Caenorhabditis elegans: one gene and its partner. The protein of the gene in region 1 purifies or fractionates together with the protein of each later gene. This does not show direct contact. Each region holds a gene or a part of one and is shown on either strand. Other genes may lie near its edges.

What was found.
Region 2: the proteins of phat-4 (region 1) and F18H3.1 fractionate together in Caenorhabditis elegans (co-fractionation; one large-scale study listed by BioGRID). This does not show direct contact.

Annotation. Positions count from the first base shown.
Region 1 is NC_003283.11:4,127,669-4,131,491, forward strand, and holds phat-4 (ShKT domain-containing protein), read left to right. Parts: upstream 1-2,235; 5' UTR 2,236-2,269; coding exon 2,270-2,359; intron 2,360-2,418; coding exon 2,419-2,680; intron 2,681-2,734; coding exon 2,735-3,129; 3' UTR 3,130-3,241; downstream 3,242-3,823.
Region 2 is NC_003284.9:13,517,809-13,522,206, forward strand, and holds F18H3.1 (SPRY domain-containing protein 7), read left to right. Parts: upstream 1-1,854; coding exon 1,855-1,993; intron 1,994-2,639; coding exon 2,640-2,756; intron 2,757-2,827; coding exon 2,828-2,982; intron 2,983-3,204; coding exon 3,205-3,288; intron 3,289-3,475; coding exon 3,476-3,592; 3' UTR 3,593-3,710; downstream 3,711-4,398. Other genes in the region: cdk-4 (Cyclin-dependent kinase 4 homolog), read right to left, coding at 971-1,096.

The DNA of each region.
Region 1 (3,823 bases):
AGTGGTGACCGTGCACTGCACCCTCCCTAATTTCAATGCTCTTCGAGTTGACGTGGTTAAACAAAAAAGGATAACTCTTTGTTGCATGTTCTGGTACAAAATTTCTAAAATTTTGAAATTAAATTTGGTTCACTGATCAGCAACAAGAGGAAGGAGGTATATAAACCAAAAAATATTCTCGAAAAGTCATCAATCAATCATGATTTTCATATTCTCGTTCCTATTGGTCCCATTGACCGCTAACGCAGCCATTACTGGTGATTTGAACTGTACTTCTTATAATGGAACTTCGGTACGAATTTGAAGTCTAAAATATTTTCAGTTAAACATAAAAATTAGAATTTTAGCAAAATTTAACGTAGAACTTTCCGATTATAAACTTCATAAGTTTCAGTATATATAGAGTTTCTTGGAAGAACGTCACACAAATTTTTGATTTTTTTTAATTTTTAAAGAATCCACAAAACTCAAAGATTTCTTTTGAAAATAGAAAATCGTCCACTCTTCAAATTTTCAAAACTTCAAGTCAAGCAGTTTTTTCAATTTTTTGGTTTCAAACAACTTTTAAACATAAAGCAACTCCCAGTACCTAAAAACCTTAAGTTATCTTCACCTTTTATCGATTTTCAGTTCGTCTACACCCCATCCGCTGTCGCATGCTCTAACACAATCTCTGATGCAGCTTGCCAAGCTCTCTACGCTGCTCCAGACACCACTGCCGGATACCCATCAGCTGGAACCGATGCTGAACGACCATTGAACTGCTACACAACCGCCACAGCTACTCCAGCAGCTATTGTTCAAGACATGAAGACTGCTGCTTTGGAGACTTGTGCCAAGACTTGTGGATTGTGCTGCCAAACTGATGCATACAGTTGCAGTAAATGTTTGAAAATTCTAAGAAAATTCAATTGCATCAAATCCAAGAAATAGGTGGGGCCACTTCATGAGTTTGAAAGAGATTAACACCAATTTGAAATAGTTACTTTGTGAATTCTACTTCCGTAATTGTGAACGAATTGTTATAAGGCATTTACGGCAAATCGATTCTCAAAAGTCACGTATTCCGAACACTGAACCCAATGGTTTTTGACTTGGGGTACTACAAAAACTACAATTACGTTTTTAAAGTTTCAATTAATGTTATAATTATTGAAATTTCCTTTATGAAAAATTAAATCTTAAAGGGAAATTGTTAAGATTTAAAAATAAATTAAAATGTTTCGATAAAGTTACATATACATTGATCGAAGCCGACTATCAGATTGACACAAACAAAAACAGGTAAAAAACTGATCATCAAAGTTTTCTAATGATCAATTAAACGAAAGAAATCAAAAACAGAACCTGTTAATGATCTGTAAAATATATCAAATTGAACACATTTTTTAAAAATTCAAATGTATCAGATAAACCCATTAAAGGGTTAGAACTTTTTAAGTGAGAATTTGTAAGAAATTAAAATTTTTTTCATCGACAGGCTAACCTAGCAGGCTCCTCTAACAATTCCACCAATAAATTATTTTCCAATTTCAGACCCACGCCTCGACTGCTCAACAATCACCACTGCTCAATGTAACTCTATCATCTGGAGATCCATCATTGCCACCGACTGCCCATCTGCTTGCGGATTCTGTAACGAGGGAGGATGTGTTGATGCTCTTGTTGACTGTGCCACTGATATCTCAATCTGCACTACAGTTGGAATGCAAGATTTCGTGAATACCTACTGCCAAAGAACATGTGGAAGATGCCCATCATCAAGTACAACCTCTTCAAGCTCCACAGCTTCATCTTCCTCCACATGCACTTCTTACAATGCTGACAGTTCATCTCTCTGTTCCGATTGGGCGGCCAATGGATTCTGCACCAATGCGTTCTACACCAGTGCTCAGAGAAAATCTTATTGTGCATCGACCTGCAAGATTTGCTAATTTTTGTCTTCACATAATTTATCACCCCCGCCCCATTTTTTTTTCCAGCCCAGTGACGCTTTCTGAACCCAATTACCTTATTCATTCTAACGGAACTGACCAATCCAGTAAAAATATCGAATAAAAAGCGTTGTGATTTTTAATGTACAAATGAATGATTGCATGGAAAGCTAACATTGTTTGAACAAGCAAAAAACGTTGGTAAAATGGAAACAATGAATTCATCGCTGTGCACTATTGTCAGACAGGTGATCAAATATGATGAATAGGAGTATATAAGAGATATCGGTTTGTCGAGTAATCATCCAAGAATTTCAACAGCAATTCATCCAGCAATGTATTTCCTCATCAGCCTCTTCTTCGTCCCATTCAGCAGCGCCGTTATTGGTGGTGACTTGAATTGTACTACTTACAATGGAACAGCGGTATGTTTTTAGGATAGCGTTTCGAAGGGCCTCTAATAGTAAGAATATTAAAATTTCAGTTCGTCTACACCCCATCCGCCACAGCCTGCTCGAACTCGATTTCCGATTCATCGTGTGCTGCTCTCTACCCACCAGCAGATGCGGCTATTGGATACCCAGCTGCTGGAAATGATGCTGAAAGACCATTTGCTTGTTACACAACTGCCACTCCAACTCCTGCTCCAGTTGTTGCTGACATGAAGACTGCTGCCTTGGCCAACTGCGCCAAGACCTGTGGATTCTGCTGCTCAACTGACGCCTACAATTGTCCAAATGTTGCTTGTAAGTTCCTATTTTTATTTTAGTATTCCTAAAACACGCTCCCACTTCTTTCAGTCCCACGTCTCAACTGCAACACAATCACCAAGGCTCAATGCGACTCTGTCACTTGGAGAACCATCATCGCCGCTGACTGCCCATCTGCCTGCGGATTCTGCAACCAGGGAGGATGCGTCGATGCTGTCACCAACTGCGGAAACGACTTGAGCATTTGCCAAACCGTCGGAATGCAAGATTTCGTTAACCAATACTGCCAAAGAACCTGCGGAAGATGCCCATCGACAACTGGATCCGGAACTGTCACCACTGCATCTTCGGGATCTTGCACTTCATTCGCCGCCGACTCCAGCTCATCTTGCTCAGCTTGGGCCGCCAACGGATTCTGCACCAACACCTTCTACACAGCTGCTCAACGCAAATCCAGATGTGCCACAAGTTGCAGACTCTGCTAATCTATTAATTTATCAATTTTCTCTGACATTTCTCCTTACTTCTTTCAAGACACACATCGGGTGACTATGGAACTGACCATTCCTTCCGTACAATAAATGTTTTAACGTGCAAGTTTTTGGTGAACAGTTTACAACAATAAAACAGGCATGTTTTCAGGCGTACCTTGTACCTTATACCTACCAGAACTTTTCCGTTTTCTCAGTTATTTTACCGTGGTTTTTTGCAGAATTTGAGAAGTATTAACAAGCATTTTGGTTATTAAAGACTAAAGGTTTAAGTTCATTTTGGCGGTAGGCAGGTGTAGGTCATGTTCCACTAGATGTGTGTCTATCCACCTACGTGTCTTATGAGTGACAAAATGGGTAACGGGAGGCCAGAATTCTGGCTTTTACATTATTATCAGCATTGTTAAGGAAAAGGCGATAGAGGGCGATACAGATTATTTTTCATAACTGCAACAAAAAATTCGGTTCATTTTAAATTCATATCGCAGTTAAAACTATTTTAAACGTTTGATCTTCTACTATTTGAATAATTTGATTAGCTGATTGGCTTATGACATCAGCTGCGGGAAGTCATTATGCAAACGTGAATAATTTGGTAGTACGTGTGTTTTATTGTTTTCTATTTTTTGAATTCAATAACTTGAATAAGAAAAATATAATTGAAAACTAACAATGATGCAAACAAACA
Region 2 (4,398 bases), on another chromosome or scaffold:
CAAAATTTTGCCTAACAATTATTAGTTTCGACTATAAAAATTGGGTAATATATTTTGGATCGAGTTGGATCAAACTTTGGATATATTTTACATTCAGAAACAATAATAGCTATCAAATCACTCAAATTAATCCTTATAAAAATTCAGAGCCACGTTCATTTTTCACTGCAGACTCCTTCCCTAATGTATTCAAATATTCAAAATTCTCACATGTTGCGGGCTTTTGTTTTGCTCTAGATCTTTTGATTCAAATTTGAAATACGAAACTTATGACCTCATTTTTTATTTATCCATAGAAATCTGAAACCAAAATAAACTATTTTGAAGCAAAAAAAAAATGTTTCGCAGCAAACAATCTCATTGCCGCCTTCCCTCTATTCTTTTTATTCGTCATTGGCGTTGACTGACTTTCACGCAAACTCAGCAGAAATGTTGCCATTTGTTTCTCTTTTACATGCCGACACTGATAAAAGCTTATACATGTGTACGTCTTTAGGGAATCGAAAAATCTTTGGTAGAGACAAAAGTTTGTTTCAGGAAAAAAAATTAGACAGGGAACTTTCAAATATTTTTCTTGAGCACGTTTTGAGCACACCATAGTTATCTTTCAAAAATAATTTCTTATTACGCAAATTTTAATACTTTGATTAGTTTGTTTGGATTGCAAAAAGTGAGTAATTAGTCACATACTTAGAAAACTTGTTCATTTCAAAACTGAACGGTTTTCAAAAGGTTTCTCACACTATCATCGAAAAAACAACGAACTTTCTATTCTTGTGAAAACTTTGGGAATTATCTTCAAATTTCGAAAGTTAAAAAAATCTTCATCTAATCCTCTTGCACTTTTGCGACTGCACTTGCGTAAGTTTCCGAAGAAAGCGCTTTCAACAACCTTGAATATTCAAAAACCGCACACTTTCCTTGACCCAGTTTTCTTTGGTCCTCTAACTGTAATCTTTTCCAATCATACCTGATGAATTTGAAAATCCTTCATTGTCAAGGGTTTTGCCATCTGTCCGCAAGTCATATTATTCATCATTTTTTGGAGTCGAAGGATCTCCATTTTGTACTCCTCTCCATAAAGATTCTCGCACATTTTGGATCTGAAAAAATTTTAATTAACATTCAAAAGTGTCTAACGTGGTATTGGAGGCAAAAAAAATAATGTTGCAAGAGTTAAGAATCTATGTAATTCAAATTTAAAATCCGATTTTATTGGCGGGCGAACGAGAAAGAGATTGCTGGCAGACGGTAGAGCGGTGTGTCTCCTCTGCCTCTGCAGCGAAAACTGTCTGCCGGTAAAGAGCACTCGGTTAGCGGAGGATGGTAGAGAAAGAAACAGAAAGGGCAACCTTGGCAAGAAGATGGACTGTGACTGTCGGTAGGCAATTCTTCGGTGGTTCTACAACAGCTGGTGTCCCCCTGAGCGCGGACACAAAGGGAATAAACCAGCGCACATTATCTCAAGTCAGCTCTCTGTCATCTCTTCTTCTCGCGTGCTCTCTTGCCTTCCGACTCTTCTCACCGCTGCCACCATTAAAACAGAATGCGTTAAACGCGCTCTATTGACAAACGTGATGAGCTCGAACTACATGCATGTTTTTGCTTGATGTTTTCATACTTTATACGAATTTCGCAACTTTCTTTTATGAGTTTAAAGTTGTAATTGTTCATTCTAGATTACAAATGACTCAATTTGACAAACAATTTAGGTATTAACTGAAAACATAACACTCTTTTTTCAACAGATAACAAATATTTGTAATTAGTAAAAAATTGTCATCTTCACTCCCCCTTGTTTCTTTTTAATTGAAAACGCGTGTAATATTTTACCATCCAGCACTAAATTTTCAGATGAACAATATCCGTGGTTGGTTTTCATGTTTGGCACCGTGCTTCGACTGTGTGGAAGGCTCCAGTTTTGACAATGCCTCGTATCCACGATTTAACGCAGTCTACCAGCCAACAGTACGACTAGATGTGGGGAGAATGGGTATGGTTTTGAACTTAAAGTTGGCTGGCTTGTTCACGTTCCAAAATCTTCACACTTTAAACAAATATTTAAAGGTGTAGTAGAGTCAACTTTTTTTCGTTTAAATGACAGAAAATAGACCCTAATGAAAATATTTAAAAAAAAAACTAAGTGTTAAAAATTTTTTCAATTTCTCAAAAATGAAATGAATGACTTCATTTTTGGTATTTTCGCGTTTTCGTCGATTTTTCTTGATTATTCTTTTATATATGGTTTTTTTGGAAAAATGTTGGAAAATTTGACAAACAGAGCCAAATACAGAGAAAAAACTTGAAAAAAAACTTTAGCATTCAGCCAGAAAACGTGAGAATATCAAAAATGACGTCTCTCATTTGCGCGGAAATTTAAACTTAATTTTGGCGTTTTTTTTTGACTTTTGAAAAATTGAAAAAATTTATAAAAAATTGAAAAATGTTTTTATTAATATTTTTCACAGTCATATTCGGTCACTAGGGTCTATTTTCTGCCATTTAAAGCAAAACATTTTTTGACTCTACTCCACCTTTAACAATCCAGCAGATAAAGTTTCATTAACATGAGTATGTTTTACTAAATACGCTATGTAGTAAAAAAAAGCAAAAAAAAAAGAACTTTAAACTTTTTATAGGTAAAAATGTAGTTATTCTCAAAGAAGGAGAACGAATTTGCGGTATTGGAGGAGCGATTGCAACTGTTCCAATTGTGCAAAACAAAGCATATTTCCAAGTGACAGTTCAACAAACCGGTGAGTTTTTGTTTTTCAAAACTAGTGTTTCCTCAAATGAAATTAAAAAAGTACAAATGTCTTATTTTCAGGAACATGGGGAATAGGCTTAGGACAAAAGCAATCACCATTCGACAAAGTCCCATGCACTGAAAAGTTTTGGGGAATCAGAGATAATGGAGACATTGCAAAGGAAAATGAGGTCGTGGCAAAAATGACAAAAACTGTGGAGGAAGGAGATGTTGTGGTGCGTTTTATAAGCAGAAAAATGGAATTATTTCGTACTTTCAAAACAAATTGCTAGTTTTTTTTAAAGCTTAACATGTCTTACAATGGAATACAAATAATGTGATACAATTTCAAGTAACGATTGCAAATACTCAAATATAATTTGAAGTTTAAAGAAAAAAAAACAAAAGTATTAAACTATTTGTTACCAAGTAAATCTGTTAAAAACTCAACCTTTCAGGGTGTTGCATATGACCACGTGGAGCTCAAGTTCTATGTAAACGGAAAAGCAGTGGAAGATGTGATAACTGGAGTTCGAGGCCCGGTATGCCAAGAGATTATTTGAAGGGATTAAGAAATCACTTAGGAACAGTGCCTAATAAGATTAAGATTCAATATTCATTCGTTGCGCTCAACTTTTTAATATGATCCCTGGCTTGGAATGCAACCATTTGGACACAAACCACAATTTTCCTAATCAATTTTTTTATTGAAATTGTTATCATTTTCAGGTTTACCCTATGGTGTATGTTGACGACTCAGCAATTCTCGATCTCAAATTCAAAAACTTCACGGAAGCTCCACCAGCGGGATTCGGAGAAATTCTCGTGGAACAAACTATTCTATAAATCTTGCCTGATTTTAAAACCATTGACCGTGATTTCCTTCGCTCTTGTGACTTGTCAATAATGATTTTGAATTTCATTGAAACTCCTTAATTTAATCTAAACAAATATGTTCTTATTATTATCAAATAGTATTGAAATTAACACTTCAAAATTGTAAGTTACAATTTCCGTGATGGAGAGTAAAAAATACTAACTTAATACAAACTTTCAGTTCAAACAGAAAATCTGAAATTTTAGGCATGTGGCTGACCGCACTTTTTTAGATGCAATATAACCGATTATTTGTTTTCATATTTACTTACATTTCATAACTTTAAAATTGATCCTGAAAATCAGTTTTTTTGATTGAACTGAAAACTTCTGGCACCTGGAAAAATTTTGTTATTAAATTCTGAAAGCGCTTAGAATTTGAAACAAGTCCCCGAAGAAACATTTTCAAAAAAGTTCATTTTAAGTCAGATATTAATTTTCAAAGTTACACAAACTAAATAAATCTCCTAATAAACAAATGCGGTCATTTATATGGCTCAAATTCAGTTTTCTGGATTGAACCTAAAACTTCTGGCACCTGGAAAAATTTTGTTATTAAATTCTGAAAGCGCTTAAAATTTGAAACAAGTCCCCGAAGAAACATTTTCAAAAAGTTCATTTTAAGTCAGATATTCATTTTCAAAGTTCAGAGTTCAGAGGTAAGAACTTGTTCAGATTTTTTGCAAATTGATCAAATTGAAGAAAATTGATTTTTGATGCCGCATTATGTTTTGTTATATTCAAGTAATCCTGTTGTTATTAAATATCAGGTCACC